2 linked regions of the Elephas maximus indicus genome follow. The protein of the gene in region 1 interacts with the protein of each later gene in a biochemical or structural test. Links are inferred from orthologs where the notes say so. Each region holds a gene or a part of one and is shown on either strand. Other genes may lie near its edges.

Region 1 (7,683 bases):
AAATTACTTAAATCACATCAAAAGAATCTGGACAAATACCAGGACAAATTTAATCCAAAAGATAAGAGATATGAAGTCTCTATTCTTGAAGACTTGACGAAAGATGATCATTTGTCTTGATTGGTTTAGGTACAGATCTCTTAGATGGCAGATTTAACATACTATGAATCTATGATAATTCAACATATCCAAATAATTTGGATGCAATTTAAATTTAAACATTTCCCTTCATAATTTATGAAAAAGATGGCACTGCAGAGAAATGGGGAAACGATGGTCTTTTCAATAAACAGTGCTGAGTTGATTGGATAGGATAAAATGAACCTGACCCCTATCTCACACTACAGAAAAAAATTAATTTCCAATTTAGATTATAGATCTAAATTAGGAGGTAAACAAATCTTTTAGAATATAGGAGAATATCTTTACGGCCTTGGAATAGGGAAAGAGTTCTTAAATTGATACAAAATGCAATAATCATTGAGGAAAAGACTGAAAACTTGGACTACATTAAAATTCAGAACTTGCATTCATCAGAAGACACCATTAAGAGAATGAAAAGTCAAACCATAGTGTGAGAGAAAATATTTGGCATATATATAACCAATGGCTGATAACCAGCATGTTTAAAGAACTCTTTCAAATCAGTAAGAAAAAGACAATTCAATAGAAAAATGGGCGTAAGATTTGAACACTTCACTATAGAAGATAAGCAAATGGCCAATAAACGTATGAGCAAGAGCTCAACCTCATGAGTAATAAACCTAAAATTAAAACCACAGTAAGATATTTTATGCCCATAGGAATAGCGAAAATTAAAAAGAATGATGATATCAAGTGTTGGCAAGCATGTGGAACAACTAAACACTCATCCACTGCTGGTGTGAGTATAACCTGGTACAACTATTTTGGAAAACTATTTGGCATTCAATGTAAAGGTTGAAAATAGACAAATGCCATGACCCAGGAATTTTAATACTGTGTATATTAACCAACTTAAAAGCATACGCATATTTATCAAATATATACAGGAATGTTCGTAAAAAGGCTGGAAACAACCTGAATGTCCACCATGGGTAGACTTGATAAGAAACCCTATACAGCAAATGTACTGCTATACACAGGGACATGTATGAATCTACAGACATGTTGAGTGAAGCCAGACACAAATTAATATAAAACCATTGCCATGGAGTCAACTCCGACACATAGTGACCCTACAGGACAGAGCAGAACTGCCCCATAGGGTTTCCAAGGAGCAGCCGGTGGATTCGAACTGCCGACCTTTTGGTTAGCAGCCGAGCTCTTAACCACTGGGATACCAGGGCTCCACAAAAGCATATGTATACAGCATTGTTTCACTCAGGAGCTCTGGTGTCCCAGTGGTTAAGAACTCTCTGTTACCGTCAGCTCCTCTGGAGAGAAAGATGTGGCAATCTGCTTCCATAAAGATTACGGCCTTGCCCAGGACAGGAACCATACCCAAAGCCAACTCTTCAGATAGGGATTGGACTGGACTACGGGATAGACAACGATACTGGTGAAGAATGTGCTTCTTGGATCAAGTAGACACATGAGACTACGTTGGCATCTCCTGTCTGAAGGGGAGATAAGAGGGTAGAAGAGGTCAGAAGCTGGCCAAGTGGACACGAAAACAGAGAGCAGAGGGAAGGAGTGTGCTGTCTCATTAGGGGGAGAGTAATTAGGAGTATATAGCAAAGTGTTTATAAATTTTTGTATGACAGTCCGACTTGATTTGTAAACTTTCACTTAAAGCACAATGAAAATTAAAAGATTATGGCCTTGGAAACCCTATGGGGCCATTCTACTCCTTCCTAGGATAAAGATCACTATGTCTGGGAATCAGCTCCACGGCATGGAGTTTTTTGTTTGTGATTACACAAATATATTCATTTGGTAGTAATTCATGAAGCTGTAAACCTCTGTGATCTGCGTTTTTTCCTATATATATATATATATATTTTTTATATTACACTTGGAAACCCTGGTGGCATAGGGATAAGTGCTACGGCTGCTAACCAAAAAGGTGCCAGTTCGAATCCACCAGACGCTCCTTGGAAACTCTTTGGGGCACTTCTATTATATTACACTTTACTGCAGAAGTTTAGAAAAAACCTCACTTCAGATCATCCTCTAGGTATCACGTGAACGCTCTGCCACGTCAGGTAGCAGAAGTATCTTTCTGGCAATTAGAAGCCGGACGTTTCTAAGCAAAACATGACGTAATGGTAAGAGGAGTGAACAGGGATCCAGAAAACCCGACTCTGACATTAAATAGCTGTGAACTTAACTAAGTCAGTACACCTCTCTGCGTCTCAGCTTCCTGACCCATAAAATCAGTATCAGGTATGAAAGTGTTTAAGGTTCTTCCCAGCTCTAAAGACTGGGATCCGCTTCTGTCTTCTCCTCAACGAGCTCCGAGGACTGTTGGTCCGGGCATGTCCCTGTTCCGCCATCACCGGAGTCCTCGCTTAGTGCTGAGGGGCCCTGGAGGCTGGTGACGGCAGCACGGGCCCGGGCCCGAGCCTACTAACGCGGGGACCGACCGTTGCGGTGAAAGGGGCCGGGTCCGCGCCGTACACACTCACCTCAGCCTGCAGCGCTGCTCTCTCCGGCGGGCCGCGCGCTCCGACTGCCGTCCGCTGGCCTAGCGAGCGCGCGACTCCTGACGGCCCCCCGGCCCCTCACTTGCGCCGCACTTCTCTACTCCTTTGCTTAAGCCTTCTGCGTACGAGCCAGACGAGGCGAGGCTCCCAACTACGCGTCTTCGGGCGCGTCTCAGGTCTTCCCCGGACTCCGTATCAACCACAAAGCGCGCTCGACCCGCGGCTTTCGGAAATCCCGCCAAACCCTCTTGGGCAGGGTCACGCCCGCCTCCACGTAACGTCTCCCCGCCCTTCGCGGAGCAGTTTTCTAGGCGCCTCGGCCGCTGCTCGAGAGCCGGAGACATTGGCCCAAGGAACTTGCATGGTTTTATCGTTCAGCCTCATCCTTTTTCTCTTAGGACTAAATTCTTTTCTTTCTCTCCATAGGAGAGCGCTACCAGATGGAGGACTACAACTCCCGAGACGGTGTGGTCGGACCGGGACTACACCTCCCAGCATGCACCGTCAGCGGGCGCCGCGGCTTCCGCGCCTCCACACCCATCTCTGGAACGTAACCTGACCCCTGAGAGCCAAAAGTGCCTGGTGCGACCTTTTGGCAGTTTCGTTTGCTGTAAGCCACTGACATAAGTCAAATTTCCAGAGCCAGGTGGTGGAGTTGAGGAAGTCCGAGATGGATATAGCGCTCCTCGGAGGGGAGAACGAAATGACTGGAATAGTATAGTCTAAATTTGTGGTGTTTTACGAGAGATTTACAGGACCCCAGAGGAGAGCGGAAACCCTGGTGGCGCAGTGGTTAAGAGCTACAGCTGCTAACCAAAAGGTTATCAGTTCGAATCCACCAGCTGCTCCTTGGAAACCTTATGGGGCAGTTCTACTCTGCCTATAGGGTCGCTATCGGAATGACTCGAGGGCAGTGGGTTCAGAGGAAAGAGGCATTGATTTTGGTAAGATTTACCTTATCATGGTTTACCAGAATTTTTGACCTGTGACCCCGGTCTTAAAAAATGAGAAAGGTTTCTCAGGCCAAGAAGAGGTGGCCCACATAGCTGGTAGAGCAAAATGGTCATGGAAATGAACGCCTTGTTCAAGAAATAGCATTGCTTGAAGAGGGAGGGTAGTTGCCATAACAAGTGCTGAAACTGGAAAGGAAGGTGCAAAGACCTGGAGTTAGAAAACTAAAAGGGAAGAACATCCTCCACATTTCTCCAGTGAAAGAACTGAAGAAAAAAATCAAGCTTGGAGTTGCAGTATTGGTGAATTCTGTGGGCAAAATGGTGAATACGCAGGAAGCATCAAAAGAAGATGGAAGGAATACACAGAGTCACTGTATCAAAAAGAATTAGTCGATGTTCAACCATTTCAAGAAGTAGCATATGATCACGAACCAATGGTACTATAGGAAGAAGTTTGAGCTGCACCGAAGGCACTGGTGAAAAACAAGGCTCCAGGAATTGATGGAATACTAATTGAGATGTTTCAACAAATAGATTCAACTCTGGAAGCAGTCACTTGTCTATGTCGAGAAATTTGGAAGCCAGCTACCTGGCCAACTGACTGGAAGAGATTGATATTTGCACCCATTCCAAGAAAGGTGACGCAACAGAATGCAGAAACTATTGAACAATATCATTAATATTACACGACAGCAAAATTTTGCTAAAGATAATTCAAAAACAGCTGTAGCAGTACACTGGCAGGGAACTGCCAGAAATTCCAGCCGGATTCAGAAGAGGATGTGGAACAAGGGATATCATTGCTGATGTCCGATGGATCTTGGCTGAAAGCAGAGAATGCAAGAAAGAGGTTTACCTGTGTTTTATTAACTATGCAAAGGCATTTTGTTGCTGGGTGAAAATCCCAGGTTTTGCTCAACGTGACTTGTCATAGCCAATAAGCTGAGGTGGGAGATCAGAAAGACGCTTTTATTTTCATGTACAAGGAAAGGAGCAATTGGGGCTGCTGCCTCCAAGACTGCTCACAGGCAGCGTAGGGAGGTGGGCTTTTACAGAGAGCAGACAAGGAAATGCAAATTCATCATGAATATTCAGGAATGACCTTCGCACAGGCACTCGAGGCTTCAGGTGATTATGCATTTTCTATGGACAAGGGTTCAATTCTCCGGCGGGGTGCTTATATGTATTTTGCACTTAATGAGCTAATAGGTCGCTTGGAGTTGAGATAGCATAAAAGCCTGCTAAGACGAGTTGGGGCCCACTAAGGCTGTTCTCTGGTTATCTTGTCAAGGACAGTTCTTGGCCCATTCTGTAGCTATCTTGTCAAGGACAGTTTCAAAACAATGTGTAGCCTATTTTGCTCAATGAGGATAAGCTAGAGGAGGTGTCTCTCAGAAGTGCTGAGTTCTGAGGCTGCCTTTATCTCCTTGAAGTGTTGAGCTCTGAGGCTGCCTGTCTCAATTTGACTGTGTGCATCATGACAAATTATGGATAACATTTCGAAGAATGGGAATCCCAGAACACTTCATTGTACTCGTGTGAAACCTGTACATAGACCAAGAGGTAGTCATTCAAACAGAACAAGGAGATAATGTGTGGCTTAAAATCAGGAAAGGCAGAGAACGCCTGAGGGAGCAGGAGAGCAGTGGGGTGCAGACCCCAAATTCTCAGAAAAAGACCAGACTTAACGGTCTGACTGAGACTAGAAGGACCCCAGTGGTCTTGGTCCCTAGACCTTCTGTTAGCCCAAGACAGGAACCATTTCCAAAGCTAACTCTTCAGACAGGGATTGGACTGGACAATGGGATAGAAAATGATACTGGTGAAGAGTGAGCTTCTTGGATCTAGTAGACTTAAGAGACTATGTTGGCATCTCCTGTCTGGAGAGGAGATGGGAGGGCGGAGGGGGTCAGAAGTTGGCTGAATGGACTAGAAGAGAGAGAGTGGAGGGAATTGCTCATTAGAGGGAGAGCAATTAGGAGTATATAGCAAGATGTGTATAAGTTTTTGTATGAGAGACTGACTTGATTTTTAAACTTTCATTTAAAGTACAATAAAAGTTAAAAAAAAAAATCCAGAAGGGTGTGCATCAGGGTTGTATCCTTTCACCATACTTATTCGAGCTGTATGCTAAGCAGATAATCTGAGAAGCTGGACAATATGAAGAACGTGGCATCAGGTTTGGAGGAAAACTCATTAACAAACTGCAACATGCCCGTGACACAACCTTGCTTACTGAAAGTGAAGAGTACTTAAACCACTTACTGATGAAGATCAAAGTCTACAGCCTTCAGTACGAATTGCATCTCAACATAAAACAAAAATTCTTACTAGACCAATAAACAACATCATAATAAATGGAGAAAATATTGACGTTGTCAAGGATTTCATTTTACTTGGCAAATCTGCAAGAGATGTCACCTTGAGGACTAAGGTGTGCCTGACCCAAGCCACAGCATTTTCAATTGCCTCATATGCATGGGAAAGCTGGGCAATGAATGATGAAGGCTGAAGAATTGATGCCTTTGAATTATGGTATTAGTGAAGAATATTAAATATACCCTGGACTGCCAGAAGACTAAACAAATCTGTCTTGGAAGAAGTACAGCCAGAGTGTTCCTTAGAAGGGATGTTGGTGAGACTTTGTCTTCCGTACTTTGGACATCTTTTCAGGAGAGACCAATCCCTATGAGAAGGACATCATGCTTGTTAAGTAGAGGGTTGTGGAAAAAGATGAAGACCCTCAATGAGATGGATTGACACAGCGGGCTTAAACATAGCAACGATTGTGAGGATGGTGTAGGACTGGTAGTGTTTCATTCTTTTGGTCATAGGGTCACAATGAGTTGGAACCAACTTGATGGCACCTAACAACAACAACAACAACATGAAGAAACAGAAGACCATTCTAGGGAGCTTTGCTCTTTCTTTTAGGTAATGGGGAACTCACTGAAGGTTTTTAAGCAGATGAGTAATATGGTTAGATTTATTTTTCCCCCAACTACCATTTTATACGGAAACCCTGGTGGCATAGTGGTTAAGTGCTACGGCTGCTAACCAAGAGCTCAGCAGTTCAAATCCGCGAGGCGCTCCTTGGGAACTCTATGGGGCAGTTCTACTCTGTCCTATAGGGTTGCTATGAGTTGGAATCCACTGGATGGCAGTGGGTGGGTTTTTTACCATTTTATATTTGTAGAGTACTTTAAAAGTTTACAAAGTTTTCATTTAATCCTCGACACTGTTATCCTGCCGCTGTGTAAAGGATAGAGGTCAACAGAGTGAGAGTGAAGCCAGCAAAGCTGTTAGGAAAGTCTGCATTATTTCAGGGAAGAGATGAGGGCTTAAGTTAGAACGGTGACAGGGAACAGATTCAGGAAGCATTCTGGAGGTAGTATCAACCTACCTAAGTGATTACAGATTGTACTGGTGGATGATACTGGACCTTAACTTCCAGTTCTTCACATACACTCTTAGAGCACCTGCAAACCCAGTCCCAACTTCCTGAGTGGAATCATGACTTTGACCTTTCTGGCTACAACTGCTTGGGCCAACAGTGTTTATCTGACCCCAAATCAATCACATTAAAAAAAAAACTAAAAACTTTATTTAGACATAATTTACATACTATATAATTAACCCTTCAAAGTGGTTTTTAGTGTATTCACAGATAGGTGCAACCATCACAACAGTCAATTTTAGAATATTTTTTATCACTTCAAAAGAAAGACTTTACCCTTTAGCTATCACTGTCTATCTTCTTAATCCTTCCCTCCTCCCTCCCGGCTAAAGTAATCACTAGTCATTCTGCCTGTATAGCTTCCCTGTTCCGGACATTTCTTACGAATGGAATCATATAATGTGGTCTTTTGTGACTGGCTTCATTCATTTAGCATAATGTTTTCAAGGTTCATGATGTAGTGTGTATCAGTACTTCATTCCTTTTTATTACCAAATAATATTCCATTCTATAGCTATACCAAGGAGCCCTGGTGGTGCAGTGGGTAAGTGGTCAGCTGCTAACCGAAAGATCAGTGGTTTGAACCCACCAGCCACTTTGTGGGAGAAAGATGTGGCAGTCTGTTCCCATAGATTACAGCCTTGGA
Region 2 (7,608 bases), about 98 Mb from region 1:
CTCCCGGGAGGGAGATGAGTGGGTGGAGGGGGTTAGAATCTGGCGAAATGGACATGAAAAGAGAGAGTGGAAGGAGGGGGCAGGCTGTCTCATTAGGGGGAGTATGTAGCAAGGTGTATATAAGTTTTTGTGTGAGTGACTGACTTGATTTGTAAACTTTTACTTAAAGCACAATAAAAATTAAAAAAAAGAAATGCAGATTCTCAGGCTCTACCCCAGACCTACTGAATCAGAAAGTCCAGGAGTAGAGCCCAGCCACATGACTTTTAGCAAGCCTCCCAGGGGACTGTGACACATGCTAACACTTGAGAACCACTGTGACTGAAGCTAACAAGCTGAGCTCCTACACAGCCCCTATGTTTCCCACCTTGATCACCTGGCCCCATGCATACAAACCTCACGACTAAAGAAGAAACCACTTGTCTGGTACCATGCTGCAGTCACAAAATATAAGCATACTCAGCAAAGTTACTTAGGGCCAACTTAAGCAGAGGCCTACAGCTGGGGATGGAACAGACCTCCCCTTCTGAGTCTAGTTTCCACAACCATGGCCTCTCTTTCTCAATTCACCTGTTCAGTGGCCTCTAACTCTACCCTCTCCAGTCCCTCAGGCCCACTCTTGGCTCTCAGGCGAGGACCCCGCCACAATAGGAATGGGTTTGTTAATACATATGCCCTCTTCCCCAACTATGAAATTAAAGGTTCCAAGCTGTCTTTAAGGAGGTAGCTACAGCTTACTCTGTCTGGAAATAAATGCTAACAATGAAATATGAACCTCACAATCGCTACCACTTCCAACATTTACAAAACTCTTCCATAACTCACTCAAGGATCAGAAAAGCTACTTCTGAAATTGGGATTAGAACCCAGGACTCTTGATTCACTCCCCAAGAGCCTAGCCACTGTAGCATGGCAGGCAGGAAATAAATTATTGTTAATTATCTAATGGAATGATCCTATGTAAGGGCACAGGCCCCACGTCACTGGACCATGGTGCCACATGGAAAGCATTTCCTTTTCACAATCCCAGTCTGCTGGAAATAATGCAGAGGCTTACTCTGAGACAAGGGTAACTTCCTGGGCCCGGAGCACCAAGTTTACAGAAAAGGGCGGGACAACCTTTACAGCCCTACTTTAGAAAACCAAACCGTCCGCTCATCTACTGCCCCGATCGATTAAAAGGGCTCCAGTTTCCTCTTACAAATAATAAATGGTGGTTATTCTATTATCATCGCCATGTCTTACCGCAGCAGCATTTGGAGGGAACAAAGAGGGCCCGGAGAGGTGGAACCGAGGTTCCTGCACGATCACTCTTTGCCCATCAATATGGTATTTCTGCTCAGTTCTAAAAGGTACAGAAATTCTATTTGAAAAGCGAGAAGCTGCCAGAGGTCGGAAGCAGACGCAGGTGCATACGCTCCAAAGAGATGGAGACGTGAACAGGGATGATCTGATCGCCCTCCTATCCCGCCTCCTCTATTTTCATTTCTTAGAAACTATCTCTGCTGGAACATCCCTTCCCACGTTCACACCCAGGGACGGACTCCAGCAGAAGAGAAGAAAGAGACGGGAGGGGTGAGATTCACAAAGGCTCTAATTTGGGGCATTAATAGTTAGAGCAGCTGAAAGACCTGCAACAGCAAAGGACCCTGTTAACAAAACATCATCAGGGCACGTCCCAGAAAACCACCCAGCCGCTAGATTGTTGTTAAAAATAACGGGGAAAATCAGAGCCAAAAGCACATCTCAACTCTGCAGACAGACTTACGGAACATTTCACCTTCACTGTTACAATGGGCGTTTTTACAAGGGGCAACAGACTCCGTGAGCTTGACAAAGGAAGAAACACAAAAGATAGCGAGAGACTCATTCTGGATAAACAGTTACTATTCTGTATTCGTAACTCCACACCCGAAACAGCAGCTCCATGAGGCACAAGGTGGGGTCTTGGCAAATCTGCACAGGATAAAACCAGTTATCCATGCTGCACTTTTGCATGCTGTAAGCATCCCTGACCTGGCCCACCTCTACACCTCCCACAATCAGGATCACCCCACCAAATGCCGAAGAGAAAACCCCTTTTTTGTGAGAACCAACCAGAGCCTAAGCTGTCCATCATTACACAGCAAAACCCCAGTGAGAACAAAAACCCAGCAGCACACTGATGTAGAAACCCCAGAACGTACCTGAATTCTTCAAATGCAAACATGACCTAGTCAGAGACAGCTTCCTCGGGTTGTCTGGCAGCCTTGTTGGTACGGAGGACAACCATTTAGTCAGTGTGATGGGGTGAAGTGCCGGAAAAAAGAGGCGGGCTCCCACACCCCCCAATATTCTGAAGTAGAAGGTTTTCTGCAGACAGGGGCCTGCAGCCTCCAGCTCCGCCAGCTGCTGACAAGCGGCAGCTAACAGGGGAGGCAGCTAGAAAACCATGTGATCATTCCAGCAAGTCTGATGAATGCAGTGTATGCCTAGACTCCAGGCTGGGAGCTGGATTAGTCCAGGGAAATCGGCCAGACCTGGGCATGCCGGGATCCTGGTTAAATCAGGTAAGATATCCCACCTCCCCCCACCAGAATTCTGCAGCTTAAAGAAACGAGGAGGCAACCTGTTCCATTGTGGTCGACCTCATTACCTCATCTTCCCGTGGCGGCTGCTGTAATGATCAGGCATGACCAACATCGTAAGCACAAACGGTACACAGTGAAACCTGGGCTGCACCACATGGAAAGGCAGCTCACGGCGAGAGTCTTTAAAATTCGGCACCTTACCGTCCCTCTACCAAACATTGTTTTGCACAAACGCCTAAGATGCTTCAGGATCACAAAAGTCACATTTTACGCCCCCACTTTTACCATGAATAACATGACCTTGGCTGTCACTCAGAGCTAGTGTCTCCTTTATTTGATTATTCATTTACTGAGTGTCGAATGTGTACCGGGCTCTTAACAGTTCCTTGAAGTGCAGTAATTGCTGTAATAATTTCAGAACAGAAGTTAAGAAGAAGGAACTGAGATGTCAGCCAAAAAAGAGAGCAATGTTTATCAGTTTGTGAAGCCCAAGCTGGCCAGATCTGGCAGTGGGCTGAGGAGGTATTCCGAAACCTGCCACTGCGGAGATTCTCCAGCACTTGGGCTGCAAATCTTTATAAAACAAGGGAGACAAATCTCAAATAAAAACCCGTGAGTCATCTTGTCTCTTTTTTCTCTCTCTCACACTACAAATATAACCAGTCACTAACTCCAATTCTGTCTCAGAAAGGCTCCTCTGAACCGGTCCTGCCCGCCCCCACCCCAACTGCCTCAGCTCATATCTTCAAAATTTCTCACTTAATGTCTCAGTTTCCTTCCTAGTCTTCTTCCTGGCGTCCCTTCTTGAAAATTCTGCCTGAGCAGTTGTCCTAAATTTGGCCTTGATCCCCCGCCCCATTTGAGCCCTGCATTAGTTTGGCGCCCCCATGAAGTCAAAACGGATTTCTCCTACTCTTTCTTCCATTAAAATTCTTCATGAGACATCCACAGATCCCAGAATATGCCAGGACTCCGTTTCTTGGGTGCCTGGGCCACCTGGGTCAGATTGCTCCACGTTCCCCCCGCTCCCCCATGCTGCCCACTGTCCCTTGCCTGCTCCTGCCCAGGGCCCGGAGGAGTCCCAGGGACAGTTAGCCGCTCTCACTCCTCTCTGGTCCAACTGCACCGATCACAGCACTCTCTCTGCCTCCCCCACAGATCCACGAATTCTGTCAGGGCAGGGACTGTGTGAGATTCATTTCTGTATTCCCACTGCCTTGGGCAGGCCTCGACAAAGCAGAGTTACTTAAAAAGGTTTCCTGAGTGTGCCTCTTTTTGCCCTGCTTTCTATCCGGGGGAAACCTGACCTAGCACATGTACTCACATGAAGGTGCTCCGGGTGAACACGCCCTCTCCACCCAGCTCGCTCGCTTGCTCTCTGAGAAGCTAGCGTTGGAGCTTGACTCAAAGAAACGAAGTCATAAAGGCAAACGGAGGCAGACTGGCTAGTGAGGGAGACATTTTGGGGAATCCTGGGGTCCCGCAAACCATATAGCAATCATCGACTAAGCTGACGGAGGAATGCCTTCGCCAGTATTCCTGACAGGTGTCTGCCTGAGACTGTCTAGTGACAGCAGCTTCTTGGCAGAATCCTGATATGACAGAAAACATGGGAGACTCGGAGCCATTAAATAGCCCGGCTGTAAGTCCCAGGTCTGCCACTTACAAACTCCATGACTGCTGACAGTTTCCTTAAGTTCTCTGAGCACTGGGTTCTGCACAGGTGAAACTGGAATAAGGGTTACACTGGCCACACCTCTCTCACAAGATGGCTGGAAGTTCTTTATCAGGCAAGTAAAGCTACACAGACATTCCTCATGGTCTTTATTATCTCACAAGACAGCCTCTCGCTGAACAGCCCTGATTTCTGGGTGCTCTTCTTTATGGTGAGGTCCCCTTCCTCACTGAAGTGTCCATCTGCTCATTGGTAGTGCATTTCCATCTTGGGGGGCAGCAACATATTTCTGTGCTGTGATTCTCAGGAAAGGGGAGATCATCTATCCATCCATCCATCCGCCCATCCACTCACCCACCCGTCCATCCACCTATCCACTCATTCATCCACTCCCATCCACCCACCCACTCATCCATCCACCCATCCATCATGTCTAGTCCCAGTCCTAAATCCTAGGTTTAAAAAACAAAAAGCAGTAGAGATTACCCAAGAGTTAGCAAGAGCAGTTGGCCAGACCAAACGTAACTATATGATATTTTTATTTGTAAACTATCTAGGTATGGAAACCCTGGTGGCGTAGTGGTTAAGTGCTACGGCTGCTAACCAAAGAGTCGGCAGTTTTAATCTGCCAGGTGCTCCTTGGAAACTCTATGGGGCAGTTCTACTCTGTCCTGTAGGGTCACTATGAGTCGGAATCGACTCGACAGCACTGGGTTTGGTTTTTTGGTTTTTACCTGGGTATAGTCATAGGTGGGATGGGTAAGGGGCAGTTGGACATCAACCAGACATAAGCATCTGGAGGGAAAGAAGATACCAGGGCATCACCTTGCCAATACTTCACAAACTCAAGGACAGGGTAGTAACTGCTTTGCTGGGAACTGTTCTCATCTGCTTAGGCCTTGCCAGTGCCTACGAGGCAGGCCCAGTGTAGTGGAAGGCCCAGTTGAACAGAGAACCTCTAGTCCATGCCTGTCTTTCACCAGTGACTCAAGAACCTCCTCTTGGAGAGCTGGTTATACCTTTTGAGGCAATTCACAAGGTCCTAATAGAGAGGAGAGTTGATAGAAATGGTGAAAAATCTCCAAACGCCAGCAGCAATTTAGACATAATTTTAGAGATTCCCCAATATGCTAATAAGGACACAGAGGCCAAAGTGGTCGCCCAAAGTCATACAGGTGTTCTAGCAGAGCAGTGCCTCAGGACCCCTGTGTCCCGCTGGCATCCTAACACCAATGATCTGTCTCAGGCCGGCTCTAAAAGAAGACTTTACAACAGACTGTTAGGCAGCCTGTGACCCAAGAAGGGGCTGGGATACTGTGAACCTTTTGGGCTATTTTATCCAGCTGGCTCTGTCTAATCCCCAATTTCACAGCCAGGCAAGAAACCTCTAAAGGCTGAAAAAGTACCTCAGCTGCCCCAGGAAGTAAGGGGTAGAAATAAGAGTTGAGACAGGGCTGGGACCAGATGGGAAAACAGCCTGCTTCCAAGACTAGACAGATCCTTGACATCTCAACTACTGGTAACACCAAAGGGTCAGAAACCGGGGTGTCACAAATGAGGGTCCATGATGCCTGACAGCTCCACTCCTCTCCAGAATAAGGCCCAATAAAGGACTTTTATCACCACACAATGATTTAAAAAGTCGTTCAAGGTCATCTTCAATGTCTCAGGACTCAGACAAAATAGGTTCCTACTCTGGGACTTAATTTCCCTTTCTACCAGGAAGGAACAGCCAGATATTCACTTCTTAGCCTTTTGTGTTTTAAGATAGCAGCTACCTGGAACCTCAATACATAAAACTGATGACAGTGGATGGTTCTGTTTGAAGAAGGGGCGGCAGAGCCACAGAGCCCCTGCTGCTAGGCCTTTCCACTCTCCACTAGAGACAAACCTGGAGTCTGCCTGAGAACACCTGGCCCAGATGACTCCAGTGGTCCCGCCGGCACTGATACTCTGTGGGGCTCTAGAGCTAAAGCCAGCATGCTCACCCTGGGTAATCTAGGTCCACTTCCTCTTTCCAGTCTCATTCCTAAGAATAAAAGCCTCCTGACTTGCCCCTGCTGACCTGGCAGAACACTCCCCTACTGCAAGTACTGGACATGCACACTTCCGGAGGCTTCTCAGAAAAACACAGACATGGAGATACTGAACAAAGCACAGTCATTAACGTGGAGGGACCCTAGGTCACTGACAACTGGGAACATTTGAAACAAGTGTCCTTAGCTTAGCATGTACCTTAGTTTTGCAAGCAACATGTCTTTTCATATCAAACCAAAAAACCCCAACCCCCGTGATCAAGTTGGCTCTGACTCACAGCAACCCTACAGGACAGAGTAGAACTGCTCCATTGGGTTTCCAAGGAGCGGCTGGTGGATGTGAGCTGCCAACCTTTTGGTTAGCAGCCTGAGCTCTTAGCCTCTTGTGCTACCAGGGCTCCTGTTTTCTTATAAAATGGTCAGTTTTCCAAGAAAGGGCACTTATAGCTTGTTGGTATGAGTCCCGTTACAGTTGATGTGCAGACCGACAACCTGGGAGTTTAAGTCTCTGTGTCCTGTTTTCCTCTCCCACTATTTTTGGGTTGTAGGAACTCATCCATGATGCGTGTGCAGCACAGTAAGCCTGAGCGTGTGTGAGCAGAATCCAGAGTTCAAACGCTCGTGATGTTTCTAGCTATGCACATCCACTGTAGGGCTGCGTGGAGATGAAATGGTAGAAGTCCTACCTGAAGATCAGACACATTCATGACTAAAAGCACTCTTCTCTTCTCATGGCCCAACCAAGGATCTTTCAAATGAGCAGGGACTGAGTGGGGACAAGAAGCACTCCACAGGGTCCTCCATGGCCTACTTCAGTCCCCTTCTCTCTAGTCTCACTTCTACCACTCTAACGCAGACCCTGCCCATCTCCACCTGGTCTCCCTCCCAGTCTGACTCCCTTCCTGCACACGGTCACCTGCCCTGGCACCTTCCAGTCTCAAACCCCACCAGTCTATTTCACTGTCTGCAGAACAACATCTAGCCCCTCAGCTTGGCACTCAGCAACTCCACAAACTGACCTGTTCTATGCTTCAGTCTGTTTTCCACAGCTGCCAACCAGAATCTTCTGGTGGCCAGGCTTGTCTCCTCGCTGAGCCCTGGCACACTTACTCATCCCACCTCCATTTCTGGATCCCCTTGTCCCCCCGTCCACAGTGCTTTCTCCCTTCTCTCCACAAGCAGTGATAGAATGGTATGGCTCTGAACCAGCCCTACTACTACCCACTTGAGGAGCCTTGGGCAAATGCTTACCAGTTTAAGCCTCAGTTTCCTCAACCTAATGTGGGAAAGATAGCACCTACTCAGTGGGGATGCTGTGGGGATGAAA

Evidence for each region. The genes of interacting proteins can lie anywhere in the genome.
Region 2: the proteins of RAD51 (region 1) and EVL form a complex in vitro, tested with the Homo sapiens proteins (2 studies listed by BioGRID and IntAct). The link is inferred for Elephas maximus indicus from reciprocal best matches to the Homo sapiens genes RAD51 and EVL.

What each region holds. Positions count from the first base shown.
Region 1 is NC_064828.1:15,332,632-15,340,314, forward strand, and holds the start of RAD51 (DNA repair protein RAD51 homolog 1), read right to left. Parts: upstream 3,014-7,683; 5' UTR 2,610-3,013; intron 1-2,609.
Region 2 is NC_064828.1:113,344,662-113,352,269, forward strand, and holds the start of EVL (ena/VASP-like protein), read right to left. Parts: upstream 3,020-7,608; 5' UTR 2,210-3,019; coding exon 2,187-2,209; intron 1-2,186. UniProt on the Homo sapiens protein: Ena/VASP proteins are actin-associated proteins involved in a range of processes dependent on cytoskeleton remodeling and cell polarity such as axon guidance and lamellipodial and filopodial dynamics in migrating cells.